Linked DNA regions of Diceros bicornis minor. The protein of the gene in region 2 interacts with the protein of the main gene of each other region in a pairwise test. Links are inferred from orthologs where the notes say so. Each region holds a gene or a part of one and is shown on either strand. Other genes may lie near its edges.

The links. The genes of interacting proteins can lie anywhere in the genome.
Region 1: the proteins of HOXA1 (region 2) and CHIC2 interact in binary tests that used the Homo sapiens proteins (3 or more experiments, as listed by UniProt). The two-hybrid records come from large-scale screens. The link is inferred for Diceros bicornis minor from reciprocal best matches to the Homo sapiens genes HOXA1 and CHIC2.
Region 3: the proteins of HOXA1 (region 2) and FAM221A interact in binary tests that used the Homo sapiens proteins (3 or more experiments, as listed by UniProt). The link is inferred for Diceros bicornis minor from reciprocal best matches to the Homo sapiens genes HOXA1 and FAM221A.

The regions. Positions count from the first base shown.
Region 1 is NC_080747.1:42,071,474-42,082,356, reverse strand, and holds the start of CHIC2 (cysteine-rich hydrophobic domain-containing protein 2), read left to right. Parts: upstream 1-5,731; 5' UTR 5,732-6,047; coding exon 6,048-6,166; intron 6,167-10,883.
Region 2 is NC_080742.1:51,927,688-51,938,503, forward strand, and holds HOXA1 (homeobox protein Hox-A1), read right to left. Parts: upstream 4,475-10,816; 5' UTR 4,184-4,474; coding exon 3,532-4,183; intron 3,052-3,531; coding exon 2,696-3,051; 3' UTR 1,517-2,695; downstream 1-1,516. Other genes in the region: HOXA2 (homeobox protein Hox-A2), read right to left, coding at 8,928-9,667, 10,310-10,688. UniProt on the Homo sapiens protein: Sequence-specific transcription factor. Regulates multiple developmental processes including brainstem, inner and outer ear, abducens nerve and cardiovascular development and morphogenesis as well as cognition and behavior.
Region 3 is NC_080742.1:48,953,089-48,964,116, reverse strand, and holds the start of FAM221A (protein FAM221A), read right to left. Parts: upstream 5,153-11,028; 5' UTR 5,145-5,152; coding exon 5,080-5,144; intron 2,465-5,079; coding exon 2,291-2,464; intron 1-2,290.

The DNA of each region.
Region 1 (10,883 bases), on a different chromosome or scaffold from region 2:
ACTCTGAGCACCATAAACTCTAAGATTGGGAGACACATAGTACAAATTTTAGGTTAAAAAGAGTTTTTAAATAATCAATGTGGGTTGAGAGGATTACTTTCTTTTTTGGAATTATACCTATGAGTAAAGACTAAGTAAGACATTTTATTTGTTTTCCCAGAGGACCAAGAAGTTTGAGTTTCTCAAGACAATTTAAAACTCTGCTGATGCAATTTAAAATACTTCCTCACACCTAGGATGATAGCACTCATGGCTGGAGATGCTGCTCATGGCTGGAAGATGCTGCTCATGGCTAGAGATGCTTCTCATGGCTGGAAGATGGGGATCATGGCTGACACCAAGTATTTTTTCTCCTGAAGCCATGTTTCCTAATACTACATCTACCCTGTCCAAATAAATTAGATTCAAAACATCAAAAATCATATATTATTCTTGTTATTGTCTATATCACTCTTTTTAGATTTAATAAAGATAGAGTAATAAGAAGAAAAATAGCTAACATATTCTGTGTGATTACCAGGTTCCAGGCACTGTATTCTAGATTCCATCCTATTTGCCTTTTTCAGAAATCATGTGCTAGATATGATCCCTCCTTCAACTAATTTCTTAGGTTGGCCATTCCTGTAACACAAGTTTGGTGTAAATTTAGACATGGCAGTCAAGCAGGGCACAGGCCTGGGGCTTTTATTTTTCACTAGAGACTTGTATTTCTCCAACACAGAATTCCAAGAGAAATATTTTCCACATTGCTTCTTTGGGCCAATGGGCAGAGTTTTTCTGGTTTCTTTCTTGCAGCCCTTCCTGGTTGGATGCTGTGGTCCTGCCTTGAACCTACCCATAGCCAAGTCTCCTGTCACAGCATGGGTATTAAAACTCCTGCCTTTTTTATGGCTGAGTAGTATTCCATTATATATATAAGGGATATATATATCCCTTGGTCCTGCTTTCCTCAGTGTTGTCATCATTCTCAGGCAGTTTCTACAACTGCAAGAGCAGCATGGCTCCTAGCAGATTCATAGAAAAAGAGATTTTTCCCACCTTCCCAATAGTTCTATTAAAAGCCCTGGTATCGAATCTCATTGGCTCTGTGTGAATCATGTATCCATTCAAACCAATCCCTGGCCCCAGGGTACCCCATGCTCTCTGATTTGCCAGCCCTAGGTCACATGCCCACTCTTGGAATTGGGGATGTGGTCAGCTTAACCCAATCATATGTACTGATAGTGGGAGAGATATGACTTACCACAAGGAAGGAGGGGATATGTACTGTTTTCAGAGGAAGTAGGGGATACATGCTGGGTAGGTTGATCTACTGGACTCACCCATTTGGAGATTTTAAAATGCACCTGCCTGGCTTCACATCCTCAGTGTATCTCCTTTACTTTTAGGATGAACTTCAGATTCCTTACCAAGACCTTCATGTTTCTACCAACCTCTTTGCCCCCATCCCAGTTGGGCTCTGCCTTCTTTGCTGTGGTCCAGCCACACCGGCTCTAGTTTGTATCTGATTTGGGTTGTGCTCTTTTCTGCCTCAGGGTCTTTAAACATTACTATAGACTGAATGTTTGTGTTCTCCTAAAATTCATATGTTGAAATCTTAACCCCCAATGTGATGGTATTAGGAGATGGGGTGTTTAATAGATGATTGGGTCATGAGGGCAGAGAAATAAATTTCTGTTGTTTATAAGCCACCTAGTCTATGGCACTCTGTTATAGCGGCCCAAACTAAGGCAAACATGCTGTTTCTGCTGCCTAGAACTTTCTCCTCTCTTCTATTTCCCCACCCTCATACTTTTGCTTAGCTCAACTTAAATGTCATTTCTCCAGAGAAGAATTCTTGATTTCTCAGAGTGAGTTAGATCTGTTAACTGATCTCATGGTCTCCCCTGTTCTTTTTATTTATTTATTTATTTAAATTTTACTTATTTATTTATTTTTCCCCCAAAGCCCCAGTAGGTAGTTGTATGTCATAGCTGCACATCCTTCTAATTACTGTATGTGGGACGCGGCCTTAGCCGGAGAAGCGGTGCGTCAGTGCACGCCCGGAATGCGAACCCCGGGCCACCAGCAGCGGAGCGCGAGCGCTCAACCGCTAAGCCACGGGGCCGGCCCATGGTCTCCCCTGCTCTTGTCCACAGGACTGATCACAATTCTAACAGTTACTGATTTTTATAATTATCTGTCAGCCCTCCCCAATGGACTTTATGCGCCATTAAGTCACGGACTGTGTTTTGTTTACTACCTTATTGCTAAACCCTAGTTCCTGGCACAGAGTATGGCACATGGGAATAATTTGATGCATATTTGTTTAACGAATGAATGAGTAAACAAATCAGGGTTTAAATGCTGTCTTAGTCAGCTTGGGCTGCCATAATGAAATACCATAGACTGAGTAATTCAACAACAGAAATTTATTTCTCACAGTTCTGGAGACTGGAAGTTCCAGATCAAAGTGCTGACTGGTTTGGTTCCTGGTGAGGGCCAGCTTCCTGGCTTGCAGGCGGCAGTCTTCTTTCTGCCTCACACCTTTCTGGGGGCGGGTGGTAGGGAAAGCAAGCTCTCTGGTCTCCTGTTATCAAGGCACTAATCTCATCCTGAGGACTCTATCCTCCTGACCTCATCTAAACCTAATTACATCCCAAAGGCCTTATCTCCAAATACCATCACATTGTGAGTTAGGGCTTCCACATATGAATTTTGGGGGGACACAATTCAGTCCATAGCACGTGCATTACCTCATTTGATCCTTGATAACCCCTTGACATAGGTTCCACTTCAGGATGAAGAAAAGGAAGCTTAGCAAGTTGAATCTGTCCAAGGCCACTCAGCTAGGTAGTGACAGAACTTGAAATTTTCAAACCTAGGAATATTTGCCTTAAAATGCAACTAAAGATTTTTTTGCCTCGTGAGGCCCCTGAGGCATTATCCTGTTTGGTTTTGAGCCATTTGGTCTGAAGGTAAATGTGCAAGTGTGTGAAGCAGGAACACAAAGGGGAACTGAGATGGAGAGGAGTCCGTACAGCAGATAGCAGGAGAGCACCTGGACACTGAGGGAAAAGATACTGAGAAGGGGCTTCATCCTCAGGAAGAGACCAGGGAAGTAGTCTGACAGGAAATTGGACCCTGAAGGGTTTGGAGTGAAGTTTGGGATTATGATGTCAACGATCATCAGGGAAAGATTTGACTCATCTTCCTTCACCCTCTCGGCCTTGTTCCCAAGTCCCACACCCTTTTGCTGGCTCTGACAGGTTTTCCAGAGCAAGAAAAAGAAGAGCAAAATAGGAAGGGCAAAAACAAGGCAGCCCCTACCTTCCACTGAGGCAGTGGGAGTTACAAAGTTCTCTCTGTTGAATAGGTCTTAGAATAAGAACATTTCTCCCACACAGAACCAGTGTTAAGATAAGGGTGAGGCTCTCACAGTCCTGGGAAGTCTAATTAACTCATGATGATCTGGAAATAGCACTAGAAACAATATATCTCAATTCAGATAACATTTATTGAGCTCTTTCTCTGGAGCAGGAACTGTGGAAAGTGCTAGAGATTTAAGGAGCTGTGTGTGACTTCCTCTGCCCTTAGGAAGATGTCAGCTATGTGATGATTTAGGTACTTTGGGGCACCAGCCCCTTATCTTGGTGACTGCTTCTACAGAAAGGTGAATTCTCAGTCACAGCACACAGGGTGTTGGCCATGCCCGGAACACACTGACCTCCCTTCCCCTTGTTCCCTTTTCTCATCCTCCCATTTGCAGCCACGCCTTCAGAGTGAAGCCTCTGGCCGCCTGGTTCCTGCCAAGAAGGAAATTCAGGAGCTTGGCCTACCCAGTGCGCTGGAGTTGAAGCCCTGAATTTGACTATTAAATAGCCATTTGGCCATGAGAAAGTCATAGCATCCCTGAAACTAAGGAACAAATTACATCCTCCTTGGTTACTTCACAGGGTTCTTGGGGAATATTAAATGAAATGTTATGTATGTACTTCATAAACAGTAAAGTGTTACATAATGCAAAAAATTGTGCTGATCCTCATAGAGTTGATTAGCTGGAGGGGGCCTTAGAGATCCCCTATCGCCATCCCATATTTACTGCATGCCAGGCCTTCTTCTAAGCACTTCACATCTATTAATCCTTTAATCTCAGAGCAGCCCAGTGGGGTAGATACTATTATGATCTCATTTTACACATGAGGAACAGAGAGGTTAAGTGACTTGGCCAGGGTCACACAGTAAGTGGCAGAGCTGAGATTCAAAGGCAGGCAGTTAGGCTCCAGAGCCCATTGTTAACCACCAAACCAAGCCACCTTCTGTGTGCTTCCTTAGCACCCTCTGTATACTCCCTCTGGGAGCACTTGACAGAATTACAATTGCTTGCCTTAGTGATAAAAAAGCTACTAGAAGGCAGGGATTGTATCTCATTCACACATACATACACATACACACCCCCCCCCACACCCTTGCACAGTGCCTGCCACACAGTTAGAGCTCAGTAAATATTTGTTGAATGAATAAATGTCCTCTGGAGAGATATACAGCAAGTCTGATACATCTACTGTGTTTTTCCTTCATCTTTTTCTTGGCTAACTATGCTCATTTCCCTCAACCATTTTCAATAGGAGATTGGCATTTCTCATTGTCCTCATTGTCCTGCATTGCACTTTCTCAACTTCAACAATGACCCAGCTAAAGTCAACTGCCAGGATGTAAACACTGTACTCGGAGAATAGTCTGACCAGCGGTGGGGCCTCTATGACTATCCTTTTCTGCCCTCACAGTGTATGCTCAATATTCAGGACTCTCTCAGGAGCCCACTCTTACCCCTGAACTATTTGAATGCCTGGACAGGTTCTTGACTATGAAACCAAGTACCCAAGGTGACCCTTAGGACTTTACTAGTGGTCTAGGCAGGTAAGGGGAATTCCTTCAACTCTTGCCGCCGCCCACGCCACAGCCCTCCCGTTCCCTTTCGTGGGAGGAGCTGTAAGAAAGCGAAAGAGATTCCTTAAGGTCTTAACGGAAGAAAACAGGTTATGGTCGATGAGAGAGTTGGGGCAGGAAACTGCATCTTCTAATGTGGAATCGAGAGAATTTGTCAATTTTGTTTCACGGTATGAATACAATTGAGTTTTCTTGTAAGAAAAAAGAAATCAGCGTCATTGGCCTCATATATTGGACTATATTTAATGAGATGATGGGACAAGATGTTTGAATTTGGACGTTTTGAAAAGTCCTGTATTATAGTGGACAAAAGTATCTGCGGTTTGCCTGTTGGGCTCCTCCAACTGGGAAAGTACAGACTCTCGTTCTCATCACAGACTGAAAAAACTGACGAAAAGCGAGATTCGGTTATTAGATAAACTGGCAATCACACGCACCATGAATTCTCCATTCCACCCAGGGTTTTTATTTTTAGTTGTTTGTTTTGGTTCGAGATTACTTTCGGGAACTAAGTGCCCCACCGGACAGTCCGAGCTCTGTTTTTGAGTCGGGGTCAACGCCTCCGGCCCGCAGAGCCACTCCCTTTGCGGGTAGGCGACCCATTTGCGGGAGGGCGGGGCCCGGCCGGCGGGAGCGCGCGCCCAAGGCGTCGTCGGGGGTGGGAGCGGAGGAAGGCAGGCGGCCTGGGAGCGCGCGAGGCCTCGCGTGCGCGCTCCCGCCCGCCAACCCGCGCGCCCACGCGCCCGCCTGCACTCCCGGGAAGTCTCGCGATGCCGTAGGCGGCTGCTCCCGCTGCGGGTAGCCCTGGCTGTTGCTGTGGTTGCCTGAGTTGCTGCTGCGGCGGCGACGGCGGCGGCGGTGGAGCTGGTGGAGGTGTCGGCCCTTGGGCGGATGTTGACATTGTGTTGTTGTTATTGCTGACGGTAATGGCGGCGGCGACGGCGACGGCCGGGACCCCATCTCCTCTGTAGCCTGAGCCGAGACGGCCAAGAGCGAACTCCGCGGCCTCCGAGCCCGCGGCAGCGACTCCCCTCAGCCTCCGCCGCCTCGCCAGCCCGAATCCCGGCCCCGGCTCCTGGAGGCAGGCCCCTTCGGGCAGGGGGCCTCGGAGGCTCAGGATGGCGGATTTCGACGAGATCTATGAGGAGGAGGAGGACGAGGAGCGGGCCCTGGAGGAGCAGCTGCTCAAGTACTCCCCGGACCCGGTGGTGGTCCGCGGCTCCGGTCACGTCACCGTGTAAGGCCCGGAGGAGGGCGAGGGCGAGGACGGGAGGTGCGGGGCTGGGGTGGGCCCCCTTACTCCTCGGGAGCCCTCTTCCCCGGTGTCTGCCTTGTGTCGGGGGCCTTCGGGAAGAGGAGGCGACCAGGAAGTGAGAACTTGCAGTATTTTTGTTTGTTTAGGTCTCCGAAGTGGAGACAGACGCTGCCCTTCCTCCCCTACACACCCCTCTTAGCAGGCCCTACAGGCCTGGGATGGTGACGGATCCCAGAAGAGAAGGTTTTTCTCTGGAGTCTGCCCTTCGGGCCACCCCTTCAGCTTCGGGGTGAAAGTACACGTAATGAGGTGCCTCCCCCTTGTGTTCTCATCCAGTTGCCCTGTGGTTCTCTCGTCTCGTCTGTGCCTTTGAGCCTGGTGACATATGGCTCAGAGGCCAGATCTGGGCCGTTAGAGACCCCAGTGACAATCGGTCATGGCTGGTTCATTGCCGTTCTGTCTGTTTCACACATACCCACAGGTCTTCCCAGTTTCCTGCAGAGTCAATTTCTGCGGAACTAATGCAAGTTCCTGTAATTGTGTATGATAAAAATGTGTAGATGAACATGTATTTAAGATATGCAGAACGATATATATTTTTAAAAAAATCTAGGTGATGGACACCCTCTGCTTGGGTTACTGGGGGTTGGGTTCTCTGTAATCTAAGTCCCTCCTTTGGGCATGAACTCTGGCATGGCTTCTTCATTTGATAAGGGTTCCTGTAAGTCCACTTAGCAACCTTTAAAAGTCGATATTATCCAAATAGGGAATGATAGCTTTCCGAAAGGTTATGACTAATAAAGGAATGTGAAGACTTGAACCAAATAATGAGCTGTCCGGAAGTAGGAAGTTTTGTAATGTTTCTCCGAGAAGTCGAGTTTTGTACAACTTGAAGTATTTATACTCTTTTTCATTTTAGAGCTCTTGTTCAAATCAAAGGGTCAAACCTCCATGCTTGTCAGATATCTCCACACTTCACCTTTTGGTTAAAATAAAAGGGCCAGCAAGTCTGAGACTGTTTGGAACAGTTTTCATTATATTTTTGGTATAGGGCGAGTGGGATGTGCGGTGAATAACTTTTAGTGAAACAGTAAGACTTCTCATATGAGATCCTATGTAAGATTGTCAGCAAAATTCTTGCATTGCCCAGTACATGATATGACCAGCCATATTGTTGTTTGGGTATCCTTATGTAATGCTTTGATTTTCTTAGCATCTGTTAGTTTATATTCAGGTGACTTAGGGTAAAAACACTGCATAATCACTGTCATAGTGCCATGAGAAGACAATGGAATTTATCACCACAATAACAGTTACTTAGTGTTTTAACTGTCATCACCAGCAGAATTAAGAAATATAACCAAATATCATGGATATTAAATCTTTCTTTAATATATATCACAGAACTTTTTTACTCTCATAGCCTGCCATTTAATTTTTAGTTTGGCGCTTAGGACGTTTTTACATTCTTTTAAACCTAAGGAGTATATGGGTGCTTAAAGAAGGGATTTTCAAAGTTTTTCATGTTATCTGCCCACCTTTCCCCCTACATTCCTCGTGTCAAAGAAAGCTGGCGAAGTTTTATTGTTTAGAAAGGTGCAGCTGTAGTTGTAATGTTTCCTCTGTTGAAGGAAAAGAAAAGCTAAGCGCTGTTGGGTAGATGGAAAATGTCGTAGGCGAAGTGCTCAGAACCAAATAGGTGATCAGTAAATTTGATTGTAGTTGGCTACTCAGAGAGGTTAACAGGATGGGTGAGAATTACAGGTTCTCAATCTTAGCTTCCTGTTAGAATCACCTGGGGAGCTTTAAAAAAAAACCAAAAAACAAAAACCCTGTCTTTGCCCCAGGCCAGGACAATTGAAGGCCAAGTATCTGAGTGAGTGTCCCTGGCATGGATGGTTTTTTAAAAAGTCCGACAAGTGATTCTGATGTGTAGCCAGGAGTGAAAACCACTATTCCAGAGTATAACGAGGAATGAGGAACTAGATGCTATCAGTAAACAGTATGCCTTTTTACATTGGGAGTTAATATTTCTGTGATCTCCTCAGCCACTTCCCTGTCTTCCATGTTACCTTGGTTCTAGGCTCTGGGTTCAAATCTATCCTCTGCCACTTTTTGGGTAAATTATCTATGTCTCTTTCAGTTAAGATGAAGATAGTATAGCACCTAACTTTTAAGGTTATTAAGGATTAAATGAGACAATACATTGCAAAGAATTCATCACATTGTGTGGTACTGTGTTCAATAAATATTAGCCTTTATTACTTTATTAATTATCCTCCACACCTGTAGTGTTCCACTTTGAGAAACATACATGTAAAGCAAAGTACTAAGAAATCTGAACTGCTGTATTCAAACCTAACAGTGATTCACTTTGGTCTTATTTTTTCATTTCTAAGCAATTTATATGAGGTTAAATTACTATGTGAAGTATTTTGGTGAGAATTAATAAGAATCTTTCTGCATTGAAAGCCTAAGCCTGTTTTGTGATGACATAGATAAGTATAGTAATCGTAATGTAAAACTTGACATGACTCGGTCATGCATAATTCACAGGCATACTATGCCAATGAGCAGTCCAGTTAGCACCTATAAAGGTTTTTGAAATTGGTGCTTATGGGTTACTGTAACTATTGAGCAGGTTCAGTTTTTCTTGCCTTTGAGTATAAATGAAGAGCTATTAAAACAGTTATAGTAAGACTGGTTAAGCTTATCACTGCTGCTGTCTGCACGCCTGCCACCCCCCCACCCCCCACTTTTTAAAACTAAGAGCTGTTCAGAGCAATCTTCTCTTACCAATTTGAAAGTAAATGATAGTGTAAACTGAATCATCTGTAATCCAGGTCGGTCTGAAAAGATGTAGATCTATCCATATGTGTTTTCACAGATTTCACTTTTGAGTAGACCTTTATAGTTGAATATTTCTACTCTTTTTTGTCCTTACTTTAGTATATTGTATTACAGTATTACTCTTATTTTATTTTAGAAATCACTGTATTCTCGTATGGCGTGATTTGGCATGTCATTATAGTGATGTGAGAAAGTAAGTTACCTTCCATTTTCTACTACACAGGCAGGTCTTGCTTAGTTTTGGGGCGTAATCAGATTTTGGGGACATAAGGATGCAAAATGTATAATTTGCATAAACAGTCTGCTTTAAGATGGTGTTTATTTTTTTATATATATATTTTTTTTTTGTGAGGAAGATCAGCCCTGAGCTAACATCCATGCCAATCCTCCTCTTTTTGCTGAGGAAGACGGGCCCTGAGCTAACATCTATTGCCATTCCTCCTCCTTTTTTTTTTTTTTTTTTTTTCCCTTTTTCTCCCCAAAGCCCCAGTAGATAGTTGTATGTCATAGTTGCATGTCCTTCTAGTTGCTGTATGTGGGACGCGGCCTCAGCATGGCCAGACAAGCGGTGCGTCGGTGCGCGCCCGGGATCCAAACCTGGGCCACCAGTAGCGGAGCGCACGCACTTAACTGCTAAGCCATGGGACCGGCCCCCTAAGATGGTGTTTAATACAAATATTTTCATATTGACCCCAAGTCAGGCTTACACTTCGTACTTTGAACATATCAGTATTCTTTCTTGACTTTCTTCTGGATGAGTATAATAATTTCCTTCATTGTTAGATGAAGGAAATACATTATTTCTATATGTTGCATATAGAAAATGTGGCACAGGGTGGCAGCCCCAACAGGGAGAAATCTTGTGCAGAAGCATATTTTGAGGAAAAGTGGTATTTGAAGGAAGAGAGGGAAATGATAAGTTCCTATTTTTGCATAATATTATGTACATGTGATTGAAAATGCTTTAGCTCACACTTGAATTAAAAGTAGATTTCCTGTTTGTGTGTGTGATTTCTCATTTTATTATGTAATGAAGATGAGGAAAAAAGTGGTTAATTTATTAGATAGTATTGGCCAGATTGGTTAATATTTTAAAATTAGGGAGTTCTTTACCTCTCAGAATAAATTTGTGCAAAATATAATGATCATTTGTTGAAGACTGATTTTTCACAGTGATGACAGCACTAACTGATGTGTTAATCTAAAAATTAGAATTTAAAACTAGTTTTAGGCCAGTACTTCCTAGCTAATCTATCATCATAACTGACATTATTTGCTCCTGTCTCTTACTTCATGCCTTTCTATATGAGAATCAAACTTGGGGCTTTCCTACGTCCTATAATCTTTGACTTCTAACTTAAGCTCTGTCATAGAGACAAGTTATTTTGTTGAGGTTTGTTTTTAATGTTATTCTCTTCTAATTTCACTAAATTATTGTGTCTTTGTGTACTCTCTTCTGAGGTATAATCTTCCTACTATCTCTTCAAATAATTCCTTATCCTTCAGCACCAGTTTTATCAGTGGCTGTGGAACATCACTCTCTTTGCTTGTCTTTGTCTCAGGTATGCTGTGGACAATTGCAAGACTTGCAAATGTGACTTGAAATGAAAAAATTTGGAAACTACTTTGGGGTACAATAGGATCTTTCTATAGGAGACATCACGAGAACACCTTAGTATTTATTGATCTTTCAAATGGTAGAGTAAATAAAAAATTATCTGTCTTGAAATGTATCAGTATTTCAAGACTGCTACTAGATGCTGTTACTAATAACAAGAGACCTGAACGTGATTTGCCCAAGTATCAAAAATACAATTAAACCTTTTTTTTTCAACTTCATAACTCCTAA
Region 2 (10,816 bases):
CTCTCAGCTACATTAAAACAGCACCTTGAAGATTAGAATCTCCGGGATTCCAGCTGGTCGGGCCCTGCTTTTAGATATTGAAATCAGGGCAGTGGCATGCAAATGACATTTTAACACATTAAAGTATTTGGAAACCGGCCATCTGTTTTGCTGTATGGCCTTACACTAATAAACAAAAGATACTGTGTAAGGCCTGGCGGGGAAATGAAAGAAAGAGTTGGCTGACTTTGAAGTTCTCCCCCATCCACTTGGTCTTTTAGAGGCAACCCCAGAACCCAGGAGCAGAGGAGAGAGCACCCGATGCCCTTGATATGGCCGCAGTAACTGTGCCTGAAAAGTCCGGGCTTGCCCCCTTTGACAGGGAAGTACAGGAAATCTCATGGGTGTTCTAGGAGGCCTGCAAATTCCAAGTTTTTGTAGGATTTCTCCCCTGGCCCCCTGCACATCCTTTGTAAAACACCCTTTGGAGAGGAAGGAATCATATGTCTGTTTTTGTTTGTGATGCTGTAAAATCTCTGCTCTACTCTTGGGGCTAAATTAAAGCCTCCAAAAAAGTGTGAAAGTAAAGGAAAAGTGGTAAGAAGTCTACAAGGAGAGCCACTTTGAACTCTTTGATTTGCTGGCTTCCTCTGTTTGAGAGCAGAGACATGCCTTAATCGGAAGCAACTTGAATATTGAAAGACTTCACGGCAGCTTCCACAAGTTTACCTGGAGGAACCTGTTGAGCCCAGAGAAGAAAATACAAACTTTTTTTTCTGGGTTATGTGGCATGGAATTGGAACTGCGGATCCATTACAGCCATGACGACTGTGAAATCAAAGCTGAATCTGATGGGAATGAGATGTGTAACCCAGAGGGGTGGAGGGGGGAGCTGTGGAAAGTGGCAGGAAGGGGTGGATACTGACCAGAGGAATGGGAGGAGAGATGCAAAGGTTTACTGAAAACAGACTACACTCAGTTTAAAAGAGTGGAATATATTGGAACACTCTCTGGCAATCCAAAAAGAAGGAAGAAGGGTGGGGTGGGGGACCCATCCTCAAACAGCTTTATACTGGAGCTAATTAAATGTGAATCTCTTAGCTCTTGGTTCACTGATGTGAGGAAAGACTGACTGAAGAGTTTCAGCTTTTGAAGGGGGTTCTGTTTATATATACGTCAACATTCAGTTGGAGGTCAAAAGGTTAGCACTTGACCCAGGAAGTATCCATGTTTGTTTCAAAAATAGATCTGCTTCATAAATTTCTTTATCACTCATTTTTTCCATTATGAATTTTGATTATAATAAAGGAACTATTTATTTTAAAGAAAATCAATCTGTTAAATAGACTTCGGTTAGGTGCAATTACACTCTTTAGGAGAAGCTTCAGCTACATAATGGAAAGCATTTACTTTTTTCAAGAAAAGGCCCACCTCTTTGAAAATGCACACCACTTTTATCCCCTTCCCTGCATGAAATGAACCAACTTTGTAGGAACCAACAGATTATAACTAAGCCAAACAGATGCTTAAACATATCTGAAACTTGAATATATTTATTACAGACATCTTAAGACCCGTAAACTCTGCTCTGGATCACATCACTCCAGGATCTCAGAGCTGTTCATGATTGTACAGGAAATGGGGAATATCATAGACTCACAAAGAATAACTGATAGAACTCAGTGTGGTACTTTAGGGACATCAAAACATTGTGCGACATGCAAAAGACTATTCACGAATCACACAAAATATACATTCATTGTGCCATCCATCACATTAACAACTGAGCTGAAAATAAATCATATCCAGCTAAGATAACTGTGGAAGGAAGAAGCTGATTTGAAGAATACTTTTAGGTTCCCAATAATCCAGCACAAATTTTAAATAGAGTGTGGCCAGAGAAACCAGAAAGGGTGGGGATGAAGAGAGACAGCACAGGAAGCAAGGTTTCTGAACCTTGTGTTCTGCAGGCCTTCTGAACTCACTGAAAGAAGAAATTGAGACTATCCTCGGAGGCATCTGATTGAGTTTAAATGAGGGCTTTAATTGTTTAACCTATAATCACATCTAAAATTGTACCAGCTTTGAGAGTTTGCCCCACCCTGTTTTAGTTGCTTAATCTAAACGTTTCTAGAAAATCTGTATAAAGATAAATCTCTCAGGACAAAGTATTTACAACCAGCAAACTCACACACATGAAACAATTAAATTAAGAGATGAATTAATTGTGTAAACATGATCATAGTGCATCTCTTCTTCGTGAGCTCCTGGAATCTCTCCTCTCTCTCCATCCTACTTTAAGGGCAAAGTAGGGGAGAACTGTAAATATACAGATAGATAAAAGATGAGAGGCCTTCCTCTGACATGTTTCTGCTGGCAAAGAAGACTATTTTCCAAAGGGCATCTGAAAGGAACAGTAAGTTCTGTGGAAATCTCCCAAAAGTAGGGAGGGGTATTAAGGACCACCAGAAAATTGATGCTGGCACCCAATCTGCATTAAGGAGTTAACGCCCCACCATCACCACCACCACCAATTGAACCTTTAGTCTAGAATTCTCTGGAAACACATTATTCTAGCCAGGAGCTCCCCAGATAGGATCAGAAAGGAAGAGAGAGGCTGTAAATGGAAAGGAAGATAAGCTAAGAATGTGCTTTGGGTAAGAAGTCGCAGCCGGAGGAGTAGCCTGGGCTGTGGAGTCTGGGGCTGGGGGCGGCCTCAGTGGGAGGTAGTCAGAGTGTCTGAGGTAGAAGACGCTGGGGAAGGAACGCAGGGCGAGGAGCTGGACTTCTCTGAGGATTCCTCGGCCTTCTCCTCGCTTCCCGGCGGGGTGGCCGGAGAGATGGGCAAGAGGCCCTCCTTCTCTCGTTTCTTCTGCTTCATTCGGCGGTTCTGGAACCAGATCTTCACTTGGGTCTCATTAAGCTGTAGGGACGCGGCAATCTCCACCCTGCGGGCGCGCGTCAGGTACTTGTTGAAGTGGAACTCCTTCTCCAGCTCCGTGAGCTGCTTCGTGGTGAAGTTGGTGCGCACCGCGTTGGGTTGACCGACGTAGCCGTACTCTCCAACTTTCCCTGGGGGCAGGGTGGGAAGTGATGAAAGAGAAAAAGATAAAATTTTTACAATCGATATGAAATCCCCTACACTCTTCAGAGCAACATTCAGGTAAAGGCGAGATCAAGAATTTCTCCACAAACCGGGCTGGGGAGAGTGAGTGATGAGGTGTAAAGTGTTAATCTGAAGTCAGCCATTAGCGTGGTCAGACCGGTGATTAATGGAGCCTGGAGATATTAACAGAACCCCCCCCCCCACACACACACACAGACCTACCCACTTCCTACTCCCAGAACCTCTAAAAGTCAGCCTCTTTGGAAACACAACAGTCCCAGATGCTCCTTTGCCCCAACACACCTGGGCAATGTGCCCATGCCCTACAACACCGGTAGGAAGCAAGAACTTTTTTAAAAAAAGCCGTTATTAATTTTACTTGGAAACTAAGCATACCAGCTCCTTCCAGAATCATCAAGAAGCATCCACAGAATGGCAAGACTGACCTGTTTTGGGAGGGTTTCTTTTGACTTTCATCCAGTCAAAGGTCTGCGCTGGAGAAGACGTCTCTGATGCAGGGGAGCGACAGGCTTCTTGGTGGCTGGCGTGGAGAGGGGACAAGGAGTTATTATACGTGGCCAGGGCCAAGCTCTGATGCTCTTGTCCATATGAGTGGTGAATATACTGAGGCGAGCCCACCGCGCCCCCGGCATAACCCTGGTGGTGGTGGTGATGCTGGACCATGGGAGATGAGAGATTTCCAGAGTAAACAGCGGGAGCGCACGAGGGGTACCCACCACTTACTTCTGCTTCCTGATTTAACGGGTAGGGGCTGTAAGGCGCGCCGAAGTTCTGCGCGCCGTAGCTTGGACCACAACTCGAGTGGGAGTACGACACCCCCAGGTTCCCGGGAGTCTGGTAGGTGGCCGGCTGGGGGTGGTGATGGTGGTGGTGATGGTGGTGGTGGGGCGGGCTGATCTGCACCCCCCTGCCCACTAGGAAGCGGTCGTCGCCGCCACAGCTGTTGGCACTGACTGCACACGACTGGAAAGTTGTAATTCCATGGTCGGAGGGGTAGGCTCGCGCTGAGCAGGTCCCCGAGTCGCCACCGCTGAGGATGGGGTATTCCAGGAAGGAGCTCATTCTTGCATTGTCCATCTGTCACTGAGTGACCGGGTCCTGTGAAGCCCTGGTTGACCGTGCCAACTTTCTCACTTCCTCCATGGGGCCGGAGAAGAAAAATGATATGAATGTACAGTGCGCCAGAGGGGGGGCGGGAGGGCGGAGGGCGCTTGGGGAGGGGCACGTGACTAAATAAACCAATGGCGGAGCCTCCTGCGAAAGTTTGCTGGCTCGCGCGGTGATGGATCACCGTTTCAGTGGCATTTAAATCCCCGGCGCTCCTCAGTCTGGGTGACGCGCAGTCGCCCCCCCAGGCAGCCCAGGCGGCGGCAGCAGCTGCGGTGGCTGCAAGGGCAGATTCGGAGCGCTGGGGTGAAGGGGAACAGAGGCTGCCTTCTGCGCGCGCCGACGCCGCTCGCCCCCCCCACCTCCAGGAGGTGGGGGCCTGGAGGCATCCCCCGTCTCCGCCTCCCTCCCCACCATGCAAAGAAAGATGAACTGGCAAGAGGTGAGAAGACAAGAGGGCTCCGTTCTCTCTTGGGTCGGGAATCAGTGGGCCGGAGCTCGCTTGGCGGCCTCCAGCACACAGGCTGAGCCCGGAGGCGCGCCGAGCTGGAAGGGCAGGTCCCCGGGCGCTTTCACTGCACAGTTCCTGCTGTGGTGCCGTGGGGCAGTGAGGAGCGCACGAGGCTGGGCCACCAGCTCTCCAACCTCTGAACGGAGAGGGAAGTGCGCAGAGAGCTGGCTGGGAGGAACCTGGGTGGGCGTGGAGGGGACGAGGGCAAGAAAAGAAACTTCCCTTCTCCGCGGAGGGTCTCCGAAGCTCCCCCCACTCCGACGCACACACACTGGCTATTAACATGGCAATAAGGAGTTTCTGTAATTCGACGCCCGGGAACGGGTGAGCCCTAGGAGCTACGCTTGCCGGAAAAGGCCGCGGGTGGCCCGGCTCTTTGCCCTCCCTCTCTCCTCGCTCTCCGCCCCTTTCTCCTCCCCACTCAGCTTTGGTCCGGGAGCCCTACGAGATCTGGAGATACTCGGACACTGGATTTTGAGGGGTAGGAGGCGGGGGAGAGAGATGACGCTAGCGGACGTGGCCAGCGTGGGGGCCGGGCCGTGCGCTGCAGGCCATCTGCCGGCTCCCCAGGATCCAGGAGCCTGAGCGCTGCTCCGGTGGGGGCCTCAAGGGGTGAGACCACAGCTCCAACAAAGTACGCTGAACTCCCCCGCAACGTTTCGCCTTTTCTGGGGGAGGATATTAGGAGTGGTAGAGCTTCCTTTATCCATCCACACCCCATTCTACTGCACGTCTGAAGTGGGAGTGGGGGCTGGCAGGTGGGAGGGGCGGTAGACAGATGGCTGATGGTGAACCGGACGTTTTCTTCTCCCCCAACACCACCTCCTCCCCTTTGTAACCGACTGTGTAGTTGCTTGAGTGAACCTTCAAGTCTTTCCCCAGAGAGACACGTGCAAATCTCAGCGTCATCCCAGGCCAGGGGTCCTGTTTTCCATCACTCTCATCCTACCCTGATGCTGATGGGGTCGTTAATTGCTGTTTACTATTAGGTTTCGTGTCAACCCTTGGCTTGTAGAGAGAAAAGGCCAAACAGAGGCCGAGAATTGATGCATTCTTAGGTAAAAGAAATGCAGAGATCATCCAAGAAGCTTTGCAGCTAAGGCTGTATAGATTTTTCTCTGACCATGTTTACCCCATGGGAATCTGACAGATGAAATGTACCTGAGGATTGTATGTGGATTTGGGGTTCCCACTCCCCTCTAGTTTTCCCTCCCCAGTTAGAAGAAGGAAGTTTTGCTTGAGGCAGGCACATCCTTAATGTTAGTCAACTTTTCAGGATTCTGCGTTCTGTTCTCCACATAGAGAAGTTCCCCCCAAACCTGTCCCCGCAAGAGGGACATTTGCTGACAAACTCTTGCAAACATTTGACTATGGATTCCCTCAGTAGCAGAGAAACATTCTCCCTAAACATTTCCTTTTGAAATGGTATTTTCCTGTGACCTTTGACCCATCCCCAATCTTGGTTAAGAGGGAGCAGAGGCGGGAAAGGTCACTCCTGCCCCAATTTCTGCACCTGGGGAACCTCATCTTAGAGAAGGGAAAAGGCAAGGCAAGGCAGCCCTCCTGGAGGCGGCTTCCTTGGGAGAGCCAGTCCTCTAGCGACGGGGAGAGAAGGCGCTCCTGTGGGGGAGGAGGCAGGACGTGAGGGGCTGGCACTGCGGACAATATGCTCTCCGAGCCGAAGCTTGTCGGTACGTTCTTCCCCGCTTGCCTCATTCCTGTCCTTTTGTTGGCCTCCTCGGCCCAGGTTTGCGCGACCCCCTCGGCCACAGGGCTCACGCCACAAAGCCGCCCCGGGCCTCCACCGCTCTCCTTCCTCTGCTAGTTCTCGGCCTCTGCGCGCCTCTCCCTCCACCTCTCTTCCTCCCTCCAGGCCTCTTTTCTGGGCCAGGGTGGGTGGGCTGTTTTTCTTGAGATCACAAGCTTGCAGTCGCACACAGGCCCGCAGACACACGGGTCGGCGACCGACCCGCCTCCCAGCACTGCCTCCCGCTCCCTGCAGGCCGGGCTCTCGCGGCTGAGCCGGCTCCGCCCCGGCTGGCCGCCCAGAGCGCTGCTTTCCCGGTGCCGCTCACAAAGGCAGCCTCCTCTGGCCTCGAGCCCGCAGGCTTCCGTACCTCGATTCCTTCCCCACCCCCACGAAATCCAGGGGCTCATTCCCCCGCGTAGGAGACCCTTGGTCCTGTGGACAAGTAGGCCGGGGCCCCACGACTCGAGCTGAAGTGTCTTTAAACGCCACCGGAGAGTGGGTGAATAGGCGAGCTTGGTCCCTATTTAAATGATCGCCTGCAAGCGGCTTGCTGGGCTCAAAGCGCCTCTTTCAGGGCTATTCTACTAGAAAGGGAAGGAGCGAGGAGGAGACAAAACGCCGCCGAGGCCCGGAGCTGTTCATGGCATCCGCGGCTCAGCCAAGCTGTTGTTTTAAAAGAGCAATAAAAATGAATTATGACTAAACGCCTTCTAACTTAATGCTTTCGGACGGGGATCCCCGGCAAATACGTAAGAGGATTTTTATTTGTGCATGTGTTCCTGCAATTGATCTCTTTGATGACATTCTCATTCATGGAAAGCGTTTGATTTATGAGCGTAGGACGAATCGCAAACGGCAGCGGCTCAGCCCCGGCCGCGGCCGGGCCGCCCTGCTTCGCTCAGCGCTTAGGGCAGGAGACCTGCCGGGGTCCTCACATGCCTCCGCCGCTGCGGGGATTTAGGGGGCAAAGAGGTGGGGAAAGGTAGGGAGCAAACCCACGGAGAAAGACCGCGATTTCCTTGTAACTTCCAAGCCTTTGCTATTAAGAGCCGGGTTCTTAAATCAACCCGCCCCCACACATGTTGCTTACACGCTGCGTTTTCTCACGGTAAGTAAGGAGCCATCAGAACAGCTCAGTACGGAGAAAAATAAACATGGGGAGACTTAGAAGGGAGAAAAAAAAAAACAGAACAACCCAGTAACATACCCTAGATCACATTTTATTGATATTTCATTTAAAGTGCTTTTTCTCTTTCTCTTTCTAGAAACTGGATTAATTTATAACCTAGGGTGCAGAAACACTCCATTTGAAATCTCAACTTACTAACTTGACTTCAAAGCTTTCATGATCCATTATTTGCCATGTAAACAGATTTAAGAATGAAATATTGATTTTATGACCCTGAAAAAACGAATCCTAGAATGACTGAACCAGAGAATTGGAAAGAACCCTTTCTGAAATGTATTTTCCAGCTAGTAACCATTGTTTTGTTTTATTTTTGTTTTTCTCTTTTAGGTCTGTTTGCCTGGACCCATCAACAGCTGGGAGACTAATCCACCACACTGAAAATGTGCGGGATATGTGGGGGAGGGGGTTGGAATATAGATGTTTGAAACAAATGTGTATAAATAAATGAATTGTTGATAACTTATTATGTTATTGACTGGAGACTGGTAGCTTGTTAAAGAAACTCCATGTTCCTCCAACCTGGAATTGGGGGTTTCTGTAGGCACTTTATTTCTCCACTTTCAGAAGCTTGGGCTTGGCCCAACTCGGAGGCTGCCCAGTCCTGTTTCTATTACCAGTTTAAATCTATGGCTTGAACCTCTACACTAAAAAACCAAATCCATTCCCTTAAAAAAAAATGCAAAACATTTCTCAGAAGCCCTAACCATTTTCTGGCTTTCTTTTTTGTTGCTATTTATTGATGACTTTAAACATGCTCCTTTAATAAATATATTAAAATTGAAAAAGATGAATCGTGACCAGAATTTTATTTACCAAGTTAGACTAAACGAAGAAAAAGAAAACATTATGAGCCTTGAGAAAGAGGGGGAGAAAAAAATAAGAAAGCTACTTATAGCAAAGGAGAATTTATTCTACCAAAAAATACGCATGACAATGCATCCTAATGTAATACAAAAATAAAAAGAAAGTGAAGATACAATTATATGATCACTTTCTTGCAGGCCTCATATATTGCTTTCAGGAAATCACATAGAGGGTTGTTGGATGAGATTTAAAACAACTAAAACTCCAAAATAATCTGTAAAAGATGGCTCTGAAACTGGGTCAGGGGAATCACTAAACAGAAAATCGTCAACATTTAAAGGAGGGAGAGGGTAGGCTGGGAAGAAAATAAAAGAAAAATCAACTCTCAGAATAAAAGAAGGCAAAACCACCTGGTCAAAGGGGTTTTTGTTTTGTGATGCTTTGTTTTGCTTTAATGTTTTTAGTAATTCAGATGCTGCAAGTCAATTGTGGTGAGTGTGTCTGTAAAAAAGTCAAAGCTGTCAGCTGAAATATCTACAGGACTGTCGAGGGAACCTGGCAAACTGGGCGAGACTGCATCTGAAAGCTGCAGGCAGGAATCTGTGGAGAAAACGTTAAAGTCCTGCAAAGAGGGGACCTCGAGGGCCTCGGGACTGTCATTGTTTAGGCCAGAGCCACAGTTCTGGCCCATTGTTGACAAGCAGTTAGGAACAGTGGGTGACTGGTGCTGAAAATGTTTCAGATTTTTCTCATTGCTAGTTAAAGGCGAAACTGGGAAACTCTGGGAGTCGCCATTGTGTCCATTGGGAGCCTGCTGCTGAGAGAGGGCATTTTGCTGAAAAGTGTAACCTTCTCTCTCCAGAAGGGCCCCGGAGACGCTGAGGGCTTGCTCAAAGAGCGACTTCTCTTCCTCATCCTCCTCCACTTTCTCAGAGTCTTCCAGGCTTTTAAATTTCCCGTCGCTGTTTTGGTTCTCCTTGCACTGCGTCTGCCTCTTGTGCTTCATCCTCCGGTTCTGAAACCACACTTTCACTTGTCTCTCAGTCAAATCCAGCAAAGCTGCAATTTCCACCCTTCGGGGTCTGCAAAGGTACTTGTTGAAATGAAATTCTTTTTCCAGCTCTAAAAGCTGAGTGTTGGTGTAAGCAGTTCTCAGGCGCCGGGAGCCCCCGCCGCTGCCATCGGCGATTTCCAGGGATTCTGCGGAAAGGGAAACCAACAAGAGACACACGCACAGTTGGAGGTGGAGGGGTCCGAGCGGGGTTATTCCACTGGAGAATAAATATAGCAGAAAAGATCAACTGCAACAAAATGGCCGCCCCTGGATGCAGTAGAGCTATTGTGCTGCCTTTCCTGGGAGCCCAGCCCGGGGAGACCCCATCTCTTCCACCTCCATCAAATTCCTGCCTTTAGCTTCCCCCAACCTCTCCATCCGGAAGCAAACTTTATATTAGCCACACCACAATTTATAATTAATGCATCAGCTGCTTAGCTGAGCAAGAGCGATCTATCACTCTTCATTACTGTCAAAAAGCCAAACTCTAAGACAACTAGACAAGAGGAGGTCAGTTCCAACTCAAATAAATCATCCCACATTACACAAGTTAGGGAAAGTCCCCCCCCCCTTCTTAAAAATATATATATGTCTCATTGTGGAGCGCAGGATCCCTTTCTCTCCATCAAACCCACTCCTGAGCCCACAGGGGAAGGGAAGGCAGCCAAGCACCTCTCCCTCTCCCTCTTCTCTCTCAGCCCACGCTTCCCTCCCCCCATAACGGCTCTTGGGGCAGCCCAGAGGGGGAAGAGGGTCCCGAGGACCTGGGGCCAAGTCTTTGGACTGACCTTTGTGGCTGAGGCAGGCAGGGCCGGTGGCGGCGGCGGCCGAGGCGGGCGGCAGCGCGGTTTTCTTGGCCGCTTTCTTCTCCTTCATCCAGGGGTACTCGGGCGGCTGCAGGGCGCCAGCGGGCACTGGGCTGCCGCGGCTGCCCGCGGGGCTCGGCTTGGGGCGGCCGCCAGCGCCGTGGCGAGGGTGACTGCCCGGGTTCAGGCTGGGAATGGTCTGCTCAAAAGGAGGAGGAATCAGTGTCGAGTGTGAAAGCGTCGAGGTCTTGATTGATGAACTTTGAAATGTATCAGCGACAGGGGGAAAAGATGTCAGGCACTCAGCGAGCGACGGCTGGCTATTGATAAAACCAATCTCTCGCTCAAATTCGTAATTCATGGCCTTCTCCTTGGAGCCCCCTCGGAGAAAAAGTTCCCTCTTCTGGAGGGGCTTTGGGGGGGCAAGGCCCAGGAAAAAGGAGAGCGCAGAGGAAAAAAAAATCTATCATAGAAGATCGCTGCTGGGGT
Region 3 (11,028 bases), about 3.0 Mb from region 2:
GTCTATACAGAAGGCAAAAGATAAAGATGTACACCTGAAATTTATACAGTGTTATAAATCAGTGTTACCTCAATTTAAAAAAGGCTTATTGCATGAATGAATTAAAAAAATTAAATGTAATCAAAATAAACTGAATTTCTAAAAATATATATTAATATAATTCATTTTAATATAATTTAATTTTTAACTTCAAAATAAATTATCAACATTTTTAAAAGACAAAGCTCTACATTAAAACACTGTTTAAGTAATTTTCTTAAATAGGCCTTCTTCTCACAAGGTGATACTCAGTAAAATAATATTAAATGTATTATTATCAATATTAATTTAGGTAATAGAATTTAAAATAACAATGAGATACCGCAAGAAGAGCCAAAGATTTTTAAACTATACATAATTCACAGTGCTGTCAAGAGTGTTACAAAAGAACCAATCTCAAAAAATCATGTTTTAGGAAACTTAAAAAGATCCATCCTTTAACCTAGACAGTTCATTTTTAGCAAAATATACCCTAAGAAAATAATTCCATGTATAAAAAGAGCTTTGTGCATAAAGATAGTATTAGCAACAGTATTTAAAATAGCAAAAATATCTATATACATACATTATACATATACATACACAACATCCTAATAATAAGGGAATGGACAGGTGAGTTACTAGACAACAATTTTCAAACTTTTTAGCAATGAAACCTTTCTTCAAATAAAATCTTCTACAGAACCGTAATGTATAAAACCGATAAAAGCAGAATTGGTTAAAGCAAGGCAAAGAGCCAGAATTGGACTCTGTCCTTCCCCTAACCTGCCCTTCCACCTGGTGCACCCTGAGACGCCCTCACCGCTCGACAACACACAGTGAACACCACTGGACTAGCTGAAACACCGAGCAGGTATTAAAAATCTTGTTTGCGATTACTACATAACAACGTGGAAACGTATTTCTGTGATTCTGTCATGAAAAATTAGTTCAATATTTATACACACACATATTTGACAACAACTAAATGAACGACATAAGGAAAAAATTTCATGAATATAGCAAAATGTATGAACAGCAGCTGGCTTTCGGCGGTGAGTCTTTTTTCTACTCTTCTGTATATTCCTCATTTTCCTTAATAACCATGTTTTGCTTTTATAATAGGGAAAAAAAATAGTTTAGGCAGAGATCTCACTGAGTGACTAGTACTAAAGAAAACTTTTCCATCGAAGTTGGGTTGAGTCCATTTTGAAGGTTAATTCCATGCTGTATAATTATACATAGATTAGAGACTGGCACTAAATTTGTACAAGAATAAATGATAAAACTAACACAATCTACCAAACTCCTCTGCAGTTTGGAAAGATATCAACGCAAACCTCATCCTCCATTCCTCCACAGTATTTTCCTTGGGGTTGCTATGTAAGTCTCAAGTCAATCTATATACAACATTACTCATCCTAGCAACTGCCTAACAACCTTTGGCAAACTGCAAGTCTGTAAACAGCAACTATACAAAGAGTCTCTCATCAAAGAGCCCCAGAAACTATTACAACAGGGCAGTTCTCCCTCCGTGGTTCCTTTGGAAAAGTTAAAGTTGTTAACTAAAAATACATTATAGGTTCAGTGATTTTTCCGTGAAGCAGCTTTGTCCCTTTGAGCTTTACAACTGTGACCTGTGACAATAGAATAATTTTAAGTAGAACATGACACATAACCAAATGCAACCCTCAGGTACAGGCAACACACGTCAACGACTGAAGCCTCGTGTATTCCTTTCTTCCATGTGCTTTCCCCGGAAAAGGACCATTTGTAATAAAAAGCTGTGTGCTTGTATTTTTGTTTGTTTAAAGAAAGGTATCGACACAACACATTTCTTAAAGTATAAAGGGAGATTAGTAAATTTGAGGAGAAATCCTTCTACTTGTAAATTGGTAACCTGTTCAGTGTAGGTCACTGAAGCAACTCTGCAGTCCTCTGCTATCTGTCCAGCGGTGGGAGAGGTAGACTCCACTCCCAGCCTAACCAAAAGACCCCCAGCAAAGCCACAGGGGCGCCATATCTTTCTTACCAATGGCAAGAGAAGAGATGCTTAAGGTGATGGACTCCATAATGAGTTCTAAAAGAATATAATAGAAATTTTTTAATTATAGCAAAAAAAACCTTTAGATTATTTCCAGGATATTATATAAAGGCCTATTTTTAAATGTTTCTCAGTTATCACAAATAATGTTATTTATAGAAGGAAGATAAGCTCTGCTACAGTTTTATAATTTCTAATCGCCAGAAAACTTAGGAATAAAGATCTTACCTATGTGTACAAAAACAGAGTGTCTCTGGCCCCACAAGTTTACAGTCCATTCCAGTTGGTGATCGCCAGCTCACGAATAATCTGTTCTGTAAGCGCATAGGTAAAACTTTTCTTTTATATTCTTCATATTCTTCAGGAGTAAAAAGTTTCCCTCCATCATCCTCACCGACAATTCTAGAAGGAAAAAAATACTTCTCTTAAGCCCTAATTATTTATTTTCCAGGTTAAAAATACTAAACTCTAAAATTAAACTATACTTGTATATGGGGCCAGCCTGGTGGCATAGCGGTTAAGTGCGCATGCTCTGCTTTGGTGGCACGGGGTTCGCAGGTTCAAATCCCGGGCACACACCGATGTGCTGCTTCTCAAGCCATGCTGTGGTGGCATCCCATATAAAATAGAGGAAGATGGGCACAGATGTTAGCCCCGGGCCAATCTTCCTCAGGAAAAATAGGAGGATTGGCATCGGCTGTTAGCTCAGGGCTAATCTTCCTCACAAAAAAAAAACTATACTTGTATAGTCAAAGGAAAGGCTGCTTCAGCTTTGAGTTTTTTTTACTTTAGGCTCAGTTAATAGCAAAATTACATACAATGGTAATAAAGCTTTTGCTTCCCATATAGAAGAAAATTATAAACAAGAAAGTCAATGAATTTATAACATCTGACTTGAATGATCACAGTTTACCACTGGAGAATTACCACACATGCATCCCAATTTCTCCTTTATTTCTGAAGCAAACATGCTCATTGTTCTCATTAAAAGCTGGAACCTCAACTGCTAAAAATTTTAACATTTTCCTCCTTTAAAAATAGTACAAAAAACATCACCAGAGAAGACAACATGACTAATGTCCGTACTCAACTCTAAACCCTGTCTAGGAGTTTAAACTAATGCAGGACCCACAAACACCCTTGGATCTGAACAAGCTCAAACCCACATGTGTGTTGAGCAATCAGGTGCATCATTGTTTAATCCCAGAAGCAAGACCTCAAAATTTTATGGGAAAAATTAATTCACCATTATTTCTTAATTTCTTAATAAATTAAGAGTTGGTTTCCCTGGAGAAAAAGGAAGCACAATTAAAAGAATTTGTTCAAAATTGAAGAAACTTCTCCGTGAAAATATCCCCCTTTAAAAATCATGAAAAGTGTTGTTTGCAGAATGCTATATAATTTTTTGTGCAATCCATACCTTTTTCCATATTTTCAAGCCTTTAGCTGAGGCGGATAAATAAAACCAATTCAGAAGCCATGAAATCATCACAACTTTCTTCCTTAAATAATTTAGATATACAAGTGTGAAAAAACAAAGAGAATTTTATTCTGAGATAAAGTTTTAAGCCATTTTGCTTTATTATAGCTACCAAAAAGTATACCGACAGGCACTAGAAAGACTTTAAGATCAATGCGGACCTTTAAAGAGATCATTTGTATTTAAATTCTAAACCAATGTAGTTCAAAAGATACTGTAGTTACAGAATCCCCAAGGGATCTAGTTCAAATGCAGATTCAGATTAATAGGTCTGGAGTGGGCCTGAGAGTCTGCATTTCTAACAAGCTCCCAGGTGATGCCTACACCGCTGGTCCATGATGGCTACACTTTGAGTAGCAAGGCTCTAATGTTTATAGCAAATTGTTCCAGGTTATTTATGTTTGCAAAAATAATTTCCCATCAGGCCCTAACATTTTCTGGGCCAGGCAAGAGACTACAGCTGGATGCCCACAATCCACATATCTAAACGTCTAAATATCTAAGTTATCAGTCAACATCAGAGCCCAGCAACTTGCTCCTAGGGAAAAGCCCGGGAGACTCAAGGGGCCATCTCTGCCTTGGGTGAGGGCTGGGTGGAAGCTGTTCTGACCACAGGACTCCTGGAGTTATCCGGACCCACCTGAACCCGGGATGAGGCCTGACCCACCAAGCTCTTCACCCTCACTTTTCTGGCTCAGAATTACCACGCATTTTTAAGCGTTACCCAAAACTATACCACCGACACAGTCAGAGGGAGTGCAGTCAACAAGGGAACTCCTGGGTGATCTGGGGTGACTACCTTTCAGGCAAGCAGCCTCTCTCACTCAGGTTTCCCAGGCAGGGCTGTGATTGTCTCAATTCCCCTTTATACACACACATTAACCCCGCCCCACCCCCCAGTATCCTCCTGCTTGTCCCTCTCCAGTAAATTCCCACTCACCCAGTTTTCCAACTGTCAAAAGCTTTCTTGAGAGACCTTAAAAAGAACAGGTCGCTGCAGGTGCATCAGCCTTTGTCAGGGCCCGGGGCAGTGAGCCGTGTCCTCAAGCCAAAGAGGCAGCTGCTTTTCTAGTTTCTGCAAAGGAGTTTCTCCAGAACCACGGAAACTACACCAGTCCGTGCTTTCTCCTAAAACCAGCACTTCGGGGTTGGGAGCATGTTTGGAATTTCACGACTTATCCTATTACTAAACTACCATGCAAACTCAACTACCATCTGCTAACTTTTATAGGCCCCGCGTATTCAATATGTAATTCTTGGACAGACATTTAGAAAAAACAATTGGACCTTTGCATAAAGCTAGAGTTAATAATCCTCCTGGGAAGCGGTCGGAGAGGAAGACCTCTTAGCCTCAGGAGAGACTTATTAGAATAGAACAGCGTGTCATTAAAATATTTAATTACAGAAAGACGAAACTTGAAATCACTGTAAGCCTCTCCCAACAGCCCGGGAAAGGATTCGGGGAGCCCCGGCGGGCCCCTGACCGCGCCCCCTGCGCTCCTCCCGGCCCGCCCGCCCCGCGGAGCCGCCGCCTCACCTCCGGTACTCCAGGTACTCGTCCACCGCCGCCGCGCCGCCGGGAGGCAACGTCAGTCGCTCCATGGCCGGCGGGGAAGAGCGATGCCGGCGCCGCGCGCCCGGAGCCCGCCCTGCGCGCGAGCCGACGGCGGAGGAGCCAGAGCGGGCCCCGCCCGGCGGCCGCGCCCCCTCCCGGCCGCCTCCGGATTGGCCCGGCCCCAAGACCGCCGTGCCGGCGCGGGGCGCGCGCGCTGCCGCCTGGCCGCCCACGCGGGGCGCGAGAAACCCGCTGTCTCCCAGCACAGCCCCGCCCGACAGGGGGCGCTGTTTACCGCCCTCCCCAAACCCTGCCTCTGACGCTTCCCTTCCCTGGTCTGGCAGGTGTCTTTGTAAAGTAACAAGTCACAAAGGAGTGCAATACTTCGCATATAATGGACGCACAAAACATGGCTTATTTCTTTGTACAGTGCTTTTCGCCGGTTTTGAGAAGGTTCTGGATAGTTTGAGGCCCACCTCCCCATAATCGCCGACAATGTCTTCAAAATTGGCGTTTACAAAAGTGTAACGTAAAATCAACAGTCCTGGATGTCTGGGTCCAGTTTGGGTGTCACTGAAGCAACATGTTCTTCAAAGGAAGTGAATAGCGGGTTTAAGCAGAAACAAATAGAAACGATTTAGTTAAGATTTTTTTTAAACCTTTGGAAATATTATCCACAAAATCTTTTTATAGTTGAATTACCGTGCGATTGGCGATTTGTCCATAATTTGGTTTAGCAACCTGGATCATCGTTACTCAGGAAACGCGGAGGCTCCCTAGAGATCGGCTTGAGCGCCCTCTGTAAATTATCTGGGAGGGAGAATCGGCAAACAATAAGGAAAATAATTCATTGAACTACAATACTTTATTTCAAAAGTACTTTCCTGAATATTTCAGGTCCAAAAAGCAAAATATTATGTAGACAAATTGTTTAGGTGCCCCTCCTACCTCCCTTTTCAGTGAGTGCCCTTTTTTCCCCTCTAAAGTCGGTCCTCCTCTCAGCCTGTTCCCATCCCCACTTTGACGTCCTCGCTGCTTTTTGTTAATTACTCTCCGCCAAAGTGTTATCTTGTAACTCAACCTTAGCCAATAAAGTTTGAAGCTTCCCAGACATATTTGCATTTTATAGGAACGTTTTAAGGTTAAAAAGCTGTCAACACGCAGATAAAGGAGTGATCCTGAAATGGGGTTATTTTAGGGGAAGGAGCCCCACTCAGTAGTCTCCCCAGTCACATCTTGTGGGCTGCGGCTACCAGTTTTCTCTTTATGAGCACCTAGCCCAGCTTTTAGGCAGCAGCTAGACTAACAAATATAAATAGCAGCAAGTGCTAAGCTATGCGAGCTTATAGAAAAGTGGCAGGGGAGTATTTATGTAGGCAAGTACAATTTAATAAATCTAGAGGGAAATAATTAAAATAGGCTTAGTGTAATTGTGGACTCTTCCAGGAAGATGCTGAAGTAGTAAACTCTTCTGACCAAAGAAGTCAACAAAAATATTAGGCATGACAAATAAGACTATGGAACAAATAGAAAATGTTATTCTAACCTTGTATAAAACTGACACCTTTGCTAATCAGAATATTGTATATGGTTTTGACTTCTGCTTTAATAAAAAAGTATAATGGGACTATAATTTCCTCCAAAAGGTAGCTACATTGATCTAGGAAGTAGGATAGACAGAAGAACTTGAAATTTGCCTAGGCAGGTGTTAGGTATTTTACATATGTAGTCTTCGTAAAATGAGATAGGTATTACCAGCATTTTGCAGTGATGTATAAGTTAGGAATGCTATCTTCTGCAAATAACAGAGTAATCCAGTTAACAGTGGCTTAATTAAACATAAGGTTTTTGTTACTTTAAAGAAGTGGAGGGATAGACAGTTGCTGGCATTGATTCAGGGCGTTTTCTCCATGGTTGGAAGAGCTCTAGAAATCATATCCAAATCAAGGAAGGAAGAAGGGGAGTAACCAACATCAGCTGTTCCTTTTGTCAAGTAAGAGTTTTCCTAGAAGCCCCTCTCCCGAAAGATTTTCACTTATGTATCACTGGCCAGAACTATGTCACATGGCCATCCTAGTTGTATGAAGGAAGCTAGGAAAGCAAGTACAATACTTAGGTTTTCCAGGCTCTGTGATAGAGGTGGTCAAGGAGAGGGTTAGAAATGTGTGTCTGGTTGGTCAATCCGTAGGGTCTGCCACAACTCACCTCTTGAACTGCTTAATACGCTTGCACACCTTTCTTCCCATAAAGACACTTTACATTGAATGCATTCATCAAACCCCTAAGGAAGGCAATCCTAAAGTCTCAGTCAGCTGCTGTACCCAGCTTGACGTCTGTAACCTGCAGTCTTCTCTATCAGTCATTAACTCTTAATGGTTTGGCAGTTGAGAACTACAACACAAGAAAGTTGTTTGCTCCCCCCAACCAACCCCTACCCAATACCCAATAGTACAGTGATGAGGATAGAATAGGATAATTAAAATAAAAACTCTAACTCAAAAAAGGGGAGAATGGGAAATACCCAGAAGACACTAGTCTATGGCACATACCAAATTCTGCTGGGCAGGAACAGTAATGACTCCAAGTTCCAACAGTGGAGAAAGTTCCTCGCACAACCAATCACATCAGGCAGCCTCAGATTCTGTTCTCTGGAAGGAGCTCCCCTATCCATCCCCTCCTAGCTCCTGGTGTACTTCTTTGGAAAATGTGTTTATTCCAAAGCCACCTGGCAGCATCTGATGTGGGCATTGAGGAAAAAGTCTTTTCTGGGGGAAATGTACAACTTTCACAATCTACTCCCTATTGGTGCAAATGCAGGATCCGGGGGATGGTAAGCATTGAAGAATCATGAGCTTTTCCAGGCAGTCTTGAGATGCAATATAGTTTCCTCAAAAATTTAGACTTCAAGTGTTTTTCTTCCTTTTGATCAGCAGTTTGTATGAGTGACCACAGACAAACACCTGTTTAGACAAAATCAATTTTTCTTATTTTTATTTGAACTCATGTTATATATGCAAAAGCACATATATAATATATATGCACAGTTTAGTTTTTTAATAATAAAATGAACAGCTGAGTAGTCACCATCCATCTTAAGAAATAGACCAATACTAATATTTTTTGCTAATCTTTCCCTTCTTTTTAATAGAAGATTTATCCCTACGTCCTATGTTTAATTTTGCATGCTTTTGGACTTCATAAGATTTGTTCTTCTGAAAATTACTGTTGAAATCATCTTTGTGTTTTTGCGATTCATCAATGTTGGTGTCAGTATTAGATCATCCTTCTTCATTTCTGAATAGTAGTCAAGCAATCATATAAAATTTACTTATCTTTTCTACTATAATGGACATTTGGGTCATTTCCAGTTTTTTGTTATTATAAACATTGCCATTATGAATGGTGCAAGTGTTTCTCCAGGGCACACTTAAAACGATTTTATATACCTCAATAAAGCTATAGAAAAATATGTCTTAAAAAAAGTTTCTCTAGGACAATCATTCTCAAACTTTAGTGTACATTAAAGTCATCAGACGGGCTTGTTAAAACAGATTGTTGACCCCGTCCTCAGATTTTCTGATTTAGAAAGTCTGGAGTGAGCTGAGAATTTTTATTTCTAATGCATATGCTGCTGGTCTGGAGACTCTTCTAGGGTATGTATATAGGTGTAGAATTGCTCAGTCATATGATATGTGCATGTTCTACTTTCTAGATAATGTCAAATTGTTTTCCAAATGATTGTGCTCCCAGCAGCAGTATAAAAACATTAAGATCGGGGGCCAGCATGGTGGCATAGTGGTTATGTTCTCACGCTCCGCTTCAGCGGCCTGGGGTTCACAGGTTCGGATCCTGGGCACCGACCTGCTCACCACTCATCAAGCCGTGCTGTGGTGGCATCCCACGTACAAAATAGAGGAAGATTGGCACAGATGTTAGCTTGGGGACGATCTGCCTCAAGCAAAAAGAGGAAGATTGGCACAGATGTTAGCTCAGGGCCAATCTTCCTCACCAAAAAAAAAAAAAAATTTCAGATTGCTCCATGTCCTCACCAACATTTAAAATTGTCAGACTTGGGACCGGTCCCATGACGTAGCAGTTAAGTGCGAGCACTCCACTGCTGGCTGCCCGGGTTCGGATCCCAGGCGCACACCGACGCACCACTTGTCAGGCCATGCTGTGGCGGCGTCCCACATACAGTGGAGGAATATCGGCAAGGATGTTAGCTCAGGGCCAGTCTTCCTCAGCAGAAAGAGGAGGATTGGCATGGATGTTAGCTCAGGGCTGATCTTCCTCACACAAAAATAAATAAATAAATAAATCTAGGGAAAAAAAGAGGAGTTATAAAATTGTCAGACTTGTTTTCATGTTTGCCAACATTGTTGTTTTAATTTGTATCTCCCTGATAATTAATGACATTGAGCACCTCTTTACTTTTATTAAGCATTTCTATTTTCTTTTCCATGAAATGCCTGTTTACAAATTTCTCCTATTTTTGATTGTTTCTTACATTGGTTTGTAGGAGTTCTTTACATATTCTGTATATAATCTTTTGTTGGATATATATGCTATAAATATCTTCTCCAGGTGGTAGCATAAATGAACAAAAATTATTTAATGTTGTCAAATTTATCCATCTTTTTGTTTTTGGTTTGTGCTTTTTGTGTCCTATTTCAGAAATCATTCCCTAACCAAAGGTCGTAAATATTGTCTTCTATATCGTTTTCTAAAAGGTTTACATTTGGAATGTCAATTCACCTAGAATTGACTTTTGTGTGTGGTATAAAGTTAAAGACCTAATTTCACTGTTTTCCCAATTTTCCAGCATGATTTATTGAAAATTTTCTTTGTTCCAGTGATACATCAAGTGTCCAAATAAGAATGGATTTCGTTATAGACTGCTTATTATGTTTCATGATCTATTTATCTATACTTTACCAAAATCATCCTGTATTATTGCAGCTTCAAAATAAGTACTAATATGTGGTAGTCTAAGCGCTACAAAGCTTCTTCAGGATTGTCTTGGGGCCGGCCTGGTGGCATAGAGGTTAAGTTTGCATGCTCCTCTTCAGCGGCCTGGGGTTCACAGGTTCGGATCCCAGGCGCGGACATGCACACCGCTCATCAACCCATGCTGTGGCAGTGTCCCACATACAAAACAAAGGAAGAATGGCACAGATGTGTTAGCTTAGCGACAATCTTCCTCACCAAAAAACACAATTGTCTTAACTAATTTGGGCTTGTCATACTTCCATATAAATTTTAGAATTGGCTTGTCAAATCCTACCAAAAATATATATATTGAAACTTCAATTGGGATAGTATTGAGTCCATAGATCAATTTAGGATTAATTGTTATCTCTGAGGTTTTTAGTCTTCCAATCCAAGAGTTTGTTTTATACATATACTTACATTTATTTAGGTTTTCTGTAATTTCTTTAATAAAGTTTTCTAATTTCCCTGAAAAATTTTGCATAGAGTTTTTCAGATTTATTCCTAGTATTATGTATTTCTGATCCTATTCCAAATATTATCCTTTAACATCAGATTTTCTGTTTGTTGCCAGTGAATTAACAATGCAGTTGGCTTTTATGTAATGATTTTGTATCCTGAGGCATTACTAAAATTACTCATTAATTTTAAATTAACTGCAAATTATTCTAAATTTTTTGCATAAACAATTATATTATCCATCTAAAATGACAGTGTTGTTTGTTTCTTTCCAGTCATTTTATTTTTCTTTTTATCTTATTTCAGTCATATTCCTTGTGACTTACATGTTATTTTTTCAACTATTTTAGTTTTTTTTTAACCCCCAGAATCTTGTTATTGTTTTAGCAAATGAGTGTTAGATTTACCCACAAATCTCCCACTTTCTTTGTGTTTCATTCCTTCTTGCACATCAGACTTTCCATATGGGATCATTTCCCTTCA